Linked DNA regions of Oryzias latipes. The main gene of each other region encodes a partner of the protein of the gene in region 2 in a complex. Links are inferred from orthologs where the notes say so. Each region holds a gene or a part of one and is shown on either strand. Other genes may lie near its edges.

The links.
Region 1: uri1 (region 2) and ASNSD1 upstream open reading frame protein share a complex: the UniProt entries of both Homo sapiens proteins name them as parts of the PAQosome complex. The link is inferred for Oryzias latipes from reciprocal best matches to the Homo sapiens genes URI1 and ASDURF.
Region 3: uri1 (region 2) and polr2e share a complex: the UniProt entries of both Homo sapiens proteins name them as parts of the PAQosome complex. The link is inferred for Oryzias latipes from reciprocal best matches to the Homo sapiens genes URI1 and POLR2E.

The regions. Positions count from the first base shown.
Region 1 is NC_019879.2:16,672,340-16,675,479, reverse strand, and holds ASNSD1 upstream open reading frame protein, read right to left. Parts: upstream 1,812-3,140; 5' UTR 1,733-1,811; coding exon 1,652-1,732; intron 1,362-1,651; coding exon 1,308-1,361; intron 1,212-1,307; coding exon 1,136-1,211; intron 1,022-1,135; coding exon 981-1,021; 3' UTR 971-980; downstream 1-970. Other genes in the region: asnsd1 (asparagine synthetase domain-containing protein 1), read right to left, coding at 1-970.
Region 2 is NC_019864.2:30,477,086-30,480,840, reverse strand, and holds the start of uri1 (unconventional prefoldin RPB5 interactor 1), read right to left. Parts: upstream 2,799-3,755; 5' UTR 2,481-2,798; coding exon 2,406-2,480; intron 2,025-2,405; coding exon 1,990-2,024; intron 1,014-1,989; coding exon 935-1,013; intron 762-934; coding exon 626-761; intron 1-625. UniProt on the Homo sapiens protein: Involved in gene transcription regulation. Acts as a transcriptional repressor in concert with the corepressor UXT to regulate androgen receptor (AR) transcription.
Region 3 is NC_019862.2:26,975,123-26,978,810, reverse strand, and holds the start of polr2e (DNA-directed RNA polymerases I, II, and III subunit RPABC1), read right to left. Parts: upstream 2,821-3,688; 5' UTR 2,704-2,820; coding exon 2,647-2,703; intron 910-2,646; coding exon 735-909; intron 1-734. UniProt on the Homo sapiens protein: DNA-dependent RNA polymerase catalyzes the transcription of DNA into RNA using the four ribonucleoside triphosphates as substrates.

The DNA.
Region 1 (3,140 bases), on a different chromosome or scaffold from region 2:
CAGCGAGGATCATTGAATCAATGCCTCCTGAAAAGAGTATAGCAATGCTAGCCTGGCCACTGCTAAGAGGTAAATTATCTTTTGCCACAAAAGGCAACGAATGAACTCGTCGCCTCACCGCCTCACTCAGGACACCAATTAGACGGTTCACAACTTCAGTTTTCTCCTTGCTGATTAGAAACTCCTCTAGATTTCCTCCAGACACCTGTGAACTGGGATTAACTTCAACCTTTTTTTCTGGAATGGACATATTCAAAGGACAAACAGGTGAAGTGATTGATAAACCTGCTCGATTTATCTCAAAATTGCACCCACTAGGGACAGAGTTAACCATCATTTCACTCAATGATGGGTTTATGACATTTCTTGCCCAGGGAAAAAGCTCAAAGGACACAGAACCACTCTGTGCAGCTGCCTTTACATCAACCTTAAACACGCCAACAGCTGGGACTTCTTTCCAATCAGACTGACCCAGCGCAGAAATCCCAGCTGCCACTGAGGTCAAAGTGAAGACACTGATCTCGGCGTCATATTTCCACAGCAAGCTGCGCCTTCCAAAAAGGTCTCTCCCAAACCAGAGATAATCTTCAGCCTTTTGATAGAAAACAAATGCCCAAGGCCCTTGAATGGCAGACAGAAGTGCCAGAACCTCCAAAGAGTTTTTACAAGATGACAATTTCTGACAGATGACAGTGGTGTCATTCTCTTCTGGCATCACAGAAATCCCTCCAAAAACCTCTCCATTCCACATCAAGACATTTCCAGCGTCGTCTTGAAACGGCTGAAGAGTAAGGAGGCCTCTCATATGGAGAACATGGGCAGAAAATGAGCAGTGATAGCTCAAATCTACAGCAGGAAACGATAGCTCCCTGCTAGAGTTGGGGCCCCTTCTCTTCAGAAATTCATAAATTCTTTTGTCCTTCTCAAATTGAGCAGCTGACAAAGTCAACTGGAAAAAGATTCCACACATTGTTGCAGCTCTAAATATCCTGCAGTTCTTTTTTCAAGTAATCCAGTTCCTCTGCAAGAATAAAAATAAAAAAAGTTTTAAAAAAAAAAAGGTGAGTTATATTGTAGTATGGTACAACATTGTAAAAATTTCAATGCAAGAGGATAAATGAATACTAACACATACTTCTGCTTGTAGACAATGTTTGACTTCTGTCAGCCAGGAAGAAAATGTTGCTGTTTCTCTGTTGGATGTAAACTTTCTGAAGAAAAGAAAAAAAAAATCAATAAAAAATGAATTTATTACGACGGATGGATGGATTTATGGATGGATGGATGTAAAAAGGTAATTACCGTACCCTGTTCTTCTTTAGGTTAGAGAGTTCATCCACAACGACCTTTTGCTCTTTGATCTGGAAATTAGCAACAAGTTAACGTTAACAACCCTATGATGATGAAGCCATCAGGAGATGTATCCCATCATGTTAAGTTTTAATTTAAAGATCAGCAGTCCTTCATTTTTCCAGCAAACATGAGAAAATCGAAACTTATTAAAACAGTAAATACATACTATTGGTGCGTAAATACTAACAAAAGTATTGCTATTCGTTTTTCCGTTCTACTATACATGCTGAAAAAGGTGAATAAACATATCCGTGTTGTTTAGCCAGCTAACAGTAGCGCGTCTTTGATATAAAGTTACCTTTTTACTGAGTTCCTCTTTATATGTGGTTTGCTCTTGGGAATTATCGCTGTTATTGTATTTTTTTGAAGACATTTTCATAAAGGAGCCACGAGGGAAAACTTTTTATCTAATTTTTCTCTTAACAGCGTCTACTTCTGCGACAAACATGTCCGGATATGCGTCATAACCGTTCCGGGTGAAGAAATAGGTGGGGAGTTCGAAGCACACTGCCGCCTAGAGGCCAGATTTGTAAAACACCCGCTACACATCTCAGGGTCCGGGGCCTGCCAAATTATAGGTAACCAAGGGGTAAACACAGATTGAATAAGAATGTCTTTAAATAACAGATTTGATGTAATTTACTTTCTTAAGACTAAAAAAATAGTATTGGGCTACTACAAAAAAGTTTTTTAAACGGAATTGGGTTAAAATTTAATCAGCTAAGCAAGTTCGAGACAGAAGAAGTTAGACTTTTCTGTTTCTACCCGGTTTTAATTTTCATTTAAAGTGACACTTCCATATAAGAAAAAAGCAACAAAAAGAAACACTGATTAAATAAAATCAATTAAGCATAAATTAAATAATGAATCCATTGCACATCTGATATGTTGATCATTTTTGATCAGTTTTCAAAACCACCTGAAGCTATTAAGTAGTCTTTAAAAACACCCAATTAACTGTCTGTGTCTTGTTCCTTTTTTTCTTTTCCTTTTTTTTCTGACATCAGAGCCTCTGAAAGCTGCACCTTTGTTAACCCTACCCTTTACTTTAACCCCAGAAACACTTCTTAAAATATTGCTTTTGGGGGGAAATACACCTCCAGCCAATTGTTGCTAGGCTGGAACAGTATCTCTAGTTAAAAAAGTATTTTTTCATTGTTTACTTGTAAAACTAAACTAAAGTAGTGGCTGAAGACAAACCAACCTGCCTTGTCTTAAGATAATTTAGCTTTTTTATATTTTAGTTATAATATGACATGCTTTCATCTGCTGATGTTGAATCATCAAATTAAAAATAACACATGCAAGTGCATTTTTTCGGGGACTAAAGCTTTTTGTTGACTTGATCTGTCTGTAGACGAACAGATGCTTAACCCCCTTTAAAAGCAGTTTCAACCTAACCCCCACCTCCCTGCTCAAAGATCACACAACCAAAAAAAAATGAATGTTGAAATACCTGCTGAACTCTGCAGCTTATTTCAACCTTGTCTTTGCCTTTTTTCTTTTGAAGTCTCTCAGCATTTAAATAGCTTTTGCATACCTCATAGTTGTTTTGTTTTTTTTACTCTTCAGTTTGAGTCAAAACTGTGCCATGAAGCTCCTAAGATGGAGAGAAAGCTAAAATAGTATTTTTCCTTATTTATGCTGCTGGTGATCTATTATTATTGAAAAAAATAAAGTTTGCAGTTGTTGGTAGAGATCAACAGATGACACGAATGTGATTGATTTTTCTTCAGCAGTGGGTCAAACACCTTTTCAGTGCAAACACAACTGTTTCTAGGCAAACA
Region 2 (3,755 bases):
TCATTAAATCTTCACAACAATTAAGCCCTTTCACTAATAGCAGCAGAGGGCCCTTGTTTCCATGGCGATGGCGAGCCCCTCCAGTCAGTGCATCAACTGGAAGTGAGGAAAGGTCAAACGCAGAAGGCCAGACAGCTCAGCCGCTGTCTGACACATTTCAGCTCGCTGTGTTTGCATTACAGCACTTAGCTGTGTAATAGCAGGGATGGCGGGGGTCAGGAGAGGGGGGGGCGGGGGGGGGGCATTTCTGCTTCACTAAACAGTCTAATAATGTTCAAATCAGAGAGGGTTTTTTTATGTGGAGGTAAAGGCTGTAGCGTCCGGACAACACGCCAAACGACCATAGCGGTCTATAACCTGGCCACAAAAGTGTGGTGGTGGGGGGGGGGGGGGGGGGGGGCTAAGCCTGCAGCCGTCACTGACGTAAAGAACGAGTCCAAACGCTTTTACACAAAGACGTACTTCATCCTGAGCCCAGAAACGTCTGTAAAGTAAAGCTCAGGCTGTCGGAATGTGACGCACTGCCGCCCCCCGCTGGAGACGCCGCCGCTCTGCAGCCACAGGCCGCCGCTCTGCAGCCACAGGCCGCCGCTCTGCAGCCACACGCCGCCGTTCAGAAACTCACGCTTCATCCTGTGATCCACCACCGCTTGGGCTTGTTTGGCCGAACACTTGGCGAACCAGTTGTCGCCCAGCAACACGGTGACCTCGTTGGTGCGCACCAGCTTGCCGGGCGTGAAGGCCAGCGGGCCGAAGGGCACCTGCTCACAGCACAAGGAGGCCCGGACGGGCCACAGAACAGAACCGGGTTAGTCAGAGCAGCTGACAGGAAGTGGGCGCGAACATGGAGCAAACGGGAGACACAGAACTTCCAGTAAAGTTTTGGTTTTTGGGTCACTCTGTAAACTTGTCAAGTGAAACGGCGAGCGCTCACCATGATGTCATAGGAGAGCCGGTCTGGGAGGGTTTTGAGTCGATCGCTGAGCGCGTCGTAATCACCCGACACCTTCATCCTGCAGGTCGGGTCACAGAAATATTCAGAATTTAACCCAATTGATGCGATTTGGGTATAAAATGATGAGTAAAGTTAAAGGATGTTATTGCTCAGATGGCCACAAGGGGGCAATGACAATCATCTATAAGGAAAACTACTTTAAACCAAAACATCTTAACTTTTATTAACTTGCATTAGAGATTAAAAAAAACTTTTACGCCTTCATGAAGACTGTAAACAAAACCAAAATAAATGACTGCTGAAAATCTTTAAGGAAAAAAGGACATTTAAATGCATTTAAACTACATTTTTACAAGAGTATAACTCACAAAATAACCTGAAAGTTTATAGTTTATATAGTAAAAAAAACAGAGCAGAAAAAATAAACGTTTCCCTAAACAAATAAACGCCAATTATTACCTAATTTCTTAAGATTATTCGCCTGGTGCGAGTAAACGATGTCAACCTCATCAGATAGTGGAGTTTAAATTGGCTGATCTGGTTTGTTTTTTGCATCTTTCTGAATTATTTTGTTCTCATACATCCTAGAAAATGAAAGAGAAAGCAAAGAAAAAGGGGAGAATTCTGCAAAAATATGGAAGTTGCTAACGGACCACAAAAGGAAATGTTGCATCAGGGCCGACTGTGGGCGAGGGACGGTTTAGGAGCTAAACTAGTCTTCTGTGGGGGCGTGTCTCCATGGTAAAGCAGGGTGGCGGAAGTATCATGCTGTGGCGATAGACTGCTAAATCCTAGAAAAACTTTTGTCTTTGCCATATGAGGAAAATAATATGGGAAGCTTTAACCGTCAAGTTCTAAAATTGAAAATGCGATCATCTAAATCCATGACTGCAGCTTAAAAAAAAGGGAGGGGGGTTATTCTCCTGCAAACTTTGAGCGTCTTTGTTGCATTCATATCCAAGTCGTACACATTCACACTCAAAGCAGAGAGGAAACCGTAGAAGAGGAGAAACTTTCAGGACTGTGCAGCTTACCAATGCTGAATCCGTGAGTCACAGTCTTTCACCACCTGATGCAGGAAAAAAATGCTTTCATGAACAACATGACACGTTCAACACAACATACATGTTTTCATGCTATCAAACTGAGTTTTGTGTTCCTTATTAGCCAAACAGAGAGAAAGAGAGAGAGAGAGAAAAAACAGAAGTTAGCAGCAAAGGCAGCCTGTAAACATGGAGTCTGAAACCAAACAACCTGCAGGAGTAAAAGCTCAGGTAAAGGTTTGGGGGAGGGGCTTGTGGGTTGATCTAATTCACCTGAAGCAGGGCAAAGAAAAGAAACGAATCTTCTTTCTCCGTATTTGCGGCTCATGTCTGCAGAGGAGGATGTTTTCAGAAGGAAACAAGCCTCGTGGCCCGCAGCTGCAGATCTGCTCACGCGCTCCTCTTACCTTCTCGTGCTCCTCTCGGAGCCTGTGAACCCCGCCGAGGGGCTTCATGTTCGCTTTACCTCCTCCTCCAGCCATCCTTACTCCGCACGTGCACAGGTGCCTTGGGGCTCTGAGGAGCACCAAAGCTCAGGGTTTGTTGTGAGTCCTAAAGAAGTGTTTATGAACGCAGCAGCAGCAGCTCCTCCGGAGGCCCGTCCCGCGCGCCTTCATCAACGGGGCATCGACGGTAATCCTCACGTCCGAAGGTGATATCATCTCACACGCTCATTTCACGGCTTCTGCATGATCTCCAAAAAAATCCGCCGAGTTTGGATCCAGAGGTTAGCAGAGAACTCCTCGCTTCTTTCGCTGTGCAGATCGACCCACAGGGGAAGAAACGGGAGCTGTTCCGGTTTTTAGTTTCAAAATAAAACCCGTGAACGGAAGAGACTTGGAGTGGGCAACGTTTTTTTATGCAAGTTTCTCCCAAAACACCAAACCATAAATTACATGCCAATTTAATCTTCGTTATCACGTATCTTACATGTGTTTTTCTTAAAATGTTAACACGTTATCTAAATGTTCGCTCTTACTTTGAAAACCAAGCGTGTCATTTCTGTTTGACGTCTAGAAAAGTCTACCAGAGTGCACTCTGGGTAAATGTTTAGTATTGTAAATATTTTACGAAACATAAAAAATAAACCGAATCTTAACTTAGAGCTGTACAAGCATTAAAACGTATAAAAACTAACAAACAGAAACACACGTTAAAGAAAAAAAATATTACTTCTAGCTTTAATTAAACTGTCAGTTCAGAAAAAAAAACTTTAGTCTGCATGCGTTGCAATTGGATGCACTATAAATAGTTGAAAGAAGATGCAATAAAGGATGTTCTGTTGGATTTGAACAGCGAATTATTGCTTTTAGTTAAAATATCCATTTTCTTGATGTCGGCATTTAATATAACGTCATTACAGCAAAAATCACAGTTTTATGTTCACTTTTGATCAAACTTTACAGCTGCAGCCCGGAATACTGACTTACAGGCCTTCTTCAACTTTTTCTAATTTTAGTTAAACACGAAATGTGACAACTTTCTGCATCTGTGGTGTTCAAATAGCACAACACACCTGTTTCTCAAATTATCATTTATGATGACTGGATTGCAGTTATACATTCACAGTGTTCACAGATCCAATTACCTTAAAAATTAACTATCATTTGCTTACTTTAGAACCATGTGGAAAAACCTTTTACTAATGTTACGATTAGTTTAATTTACCAGAAAAAGAGGACGAAAAACAGTTTAAACATTTAAAATGAGCCGTAACTCCATTGTTGTTTTTCTTATAATTCAAGTTTTTATTTATT
Region 3 (3,688 bases), on a different chromosome or scaffold from region 2:
TACGGTTGCAATATTTTCTAACACTGAACCTCTTTGCTATTGCCAATAACTGTGTCTGATCTGCGAAAAAGAAAAATGATAAAAAGAATAGGAAACTGTAAAAAAATATAACCTGTTAGACTCAAATGAAAGGTTGATATTTTCAACTGAACCTTAAATATTGATGGATTACTTAAATTTGTATTTTGACTTGTGAAAGATTTAAAAGAGGAAATTGACTACAGTTGGATATGACATTTATAAAATAAATCATGTAAAAAGTGCCGTTGCGATTGGTAAGGTTAGTGTGTATTCTTCTCATAGAATGGTGTTAAACAGCGTTCAGTTGTCAGCTTTGCTCGTCTAAAACCAGAAGTACGGTGACACAATGGCGCCCATGTCTCTGTTTTGTCTGACGTCACCATGAAAAGGGTCTATTGGCTTCATTTCTCTGGAGCCGGAAGAAAGGCGACGTCACCATGGCTCAATTCTCTAATAAAGTCAATGTAATCTAATGGGAGAGTGTGTAAACAAAAAAGGGATGATGGGATATCAGCAGGGGCTTACGTCCGTGCCAACAGTGATGCCCACACAGGTTTTTATGAATTTGGCTAAAAACAGAGCATTCATAAATATAATACCACTGGGGACTCCTTTAAAAATAAATCGAAATATGATTGGAGTGTAACTTAAACTTTTGGTTATTTTATGGATAAAAGGATGAGTTCCCAAATTATTCTCAAGTATAAACCTACCAGGAAAGAAAACAAACATTTGATCAGTGGGATCATCGTTGTGTGCGACCAAGACTGTAAGGTCCGTCCGTCTGGGACGACCCTCGCTGGGTTTGTCTCCGAATTGACTCTTGAACTCCTCCAGGGTCTGGTCCAACTCATCTTGTGTTACCAGATAGCCTCGATCGTGGCAGAGCTGTGGTTAAAAAAAACAAACAACATTTTAATATGTATAGTGTTGGCCAAAGGTTTTGAGAATTACATAAATATTGGAAATTGCAAAAGTTGCTGCCTAGGATTTTATAATAGCAATTTGCATGTTCTCCAAAATGTTACAAAGAGTCATCAGATGAATTGCGTAGTCCTTCTTTGCCATGAAAATTAAATGAATCCCCCCCCCAAAAATCATTTCAGTCATCGTCTTTTTAACTCAGTTGAGAATGTTGACGAGCACAAGACTGGAGATCATGATGTCAGGCCGGTTGGGTTAGAATGGCAGACTTGACATGTTAAAAGGAGGGTGATGCTTGAAATCATTGTTCTGCCACTGTTAACCATGCTGACCGGCAAAGAAACGTGTGCAGCCATCATCGCGTTGCATAAGAATGGCTTCACAGGCGAGGATATTGTGGCAGCTAAGATTGCACCTAAATCAACAATTTATAGGATCATCAAAAACTTCAAGGAAAGAGGTTCAATTCTTGTTAACAAGGTTTCAGAGCGTCCAAGAAAGTCCAGCAAGTGCCAAGAATCGTCTCCTAATGGGTTTTAACTGTGGGATCGGAGCGCCACCAGTGCAGAGTTTGCTCAGGAATGGCAACAGGCTGGTGTGAGCGCATTTGCATGCACAGTGAGGCGGAGACTTTTAGAAGATGGCCACTTATCCACCCCAAAAACAAACATCAGGGACAGATTGATCTTCTGCAAAAAGTATGGCGAGTGGACTGCTGGGGACTGGGGCAAAGTCCTATTCTCCCATGAAGCCTCTATCCGATTGTTTGGGGCATCTGGACAAAGGCTTGTCCGGAGAAGAAAAGGTGAGAGCTACCACCTGTCCCGTGTCGTGCCAACAGTAAAGCATCCTGAGACCCTTGATGTGTGGGGTTGCTTCTCATCCAAGGAAGTGGGCTCATTCGCATTTTTCTCCAAAACCACAGCCATGAATAAAGAATGGTGCCAAAACTCCCTCCAACAGCAACTTCTTCCAGCAATCCAACAACAGTTTGGCGTCAAACAATGTATTTTCCAGCACGATGGCGCACCGTGCCATGAGGCAAAAGTGATAACTAAGTGGATCGGGGACCAAAATGTTGACATTTTGGGTCCACGGCCTGGAAACTCCCCAGATCTTAATCAATCTGGGTTGCTATCGGTCAGGATTTGGCCCTAAAGTTGATTGACAGCATGCCCAGTCGAATTGCAGGGGTGCTGACAAAGGAAGTCCAACACTGCAAAACCTGACTCTCTGCATAAATGTCATATAATTATTGTCGATTAAAAAAAGCCTAAACGTAATAAAGAGCTGATAACTATATTTCAGTACATCACAGAAACAAAAATCTAAAAGCAGTTTAGCAGCAAACTTTGTGAAAGTGTATTTAATGATTTGAAGCATTCATGTTGTCATACATGTAGTCTACATGTACGAAAACATGTTGGCTTTTTTTAATGGGTCATCATGGGTGTGCTAAAGTTAGCCTTCGTTCAAACGAGGCTAACGAATGCATCATTCCTACACATAATAATTAAAAAAAAAAGTCTGAGCGCGTAATTGGAACGACTTGCACTGAGAATAAGAGATTAACACACAAAACGTAAAAGATTTAGTTACAACTTTAACAATGGCAGTCAAAAGCGACTCTTTAACGCGAGCCACATGTGAAGCTAACAGCTAGTTCGCTGCTAAGCTAGTATATCCTTTTATTTAATCCACCTGCATTATTGTTTTACGGATCTTCCACAGCCGGTAAGTTTCCTCTTCATCGTCCATCCTTTCTCAATTTATTCTCCTTTTCGTATTTTTAAATCACTAATATTCTTCTAAAAATCCGATGGCATCGATGGTTCCTGGCTTGGCCAATATTATATACCACAATGCATTGCGTTTGATCGAGTTGACGTTTAAAAAAACTGTTCTTAAAGAAAAGTCCTCCAGGTTATTATCTTCAGAGCGAATTTATTAAGTCTTCATAAAATGTTCTTAATTATTCGGTATTTTTTTTTAACTTCGGCTAATTGGAAATGTAAATCTGAAGACAATTTACTTATGGTAAAAAAAATAAATTAAAATAAAAATTTGCTTCAGAATTAAAAATCTCTTTCTAAATTTATTTTTTACTGACTGAATTTAGGTTTTAAAAAAGCTTAGTATATTTTGCTAATAATAAATAAATATATCACCTTCTATGTTTTAATTATGACACATTTTATCTATAAAAATAGATAAAATCTTAGAATGTAGACGAGGGTCATTGAGTATAATTTAAGTACGTCATCTTGACTCTTCTTTAAATTAAACTGTTGCAGTGAAATAGAAACTGTCTTTTGGCTGTTTTGCTATTTGTTCATGTATCGCTAGTTATATCGTCATCGCAATATTGATCATTGATATCGCAGAACGCGAGTTTCCTCATATCGTGCACCTCTATCTCCTACCCCCCCCCCTTTTTTTGAACGTTTTGACCTATATTTTATTTTTATTTTTGTTTTGAAAAACCTCATACGTCATTTCCTCCTTGTCTTGTCAAGCATTTGACTCCACCCACTTGAGTTTCACAACACTGGGTGGAAATGAGTCACGTGCGCTTACAATGAACAAAATAGATTTTTTCCGATAACTGGGGCCTTTTTATTATTATTTTTATTTAAGTCGCTGTCAAAAATGAGGCCATTAATTGTTATGTTGACAGTTGGGGCTATAGCGAGCAGCGGAGCACTGCTGGCGATGGTACTGTACTTTGTTTTGTCCACCACGG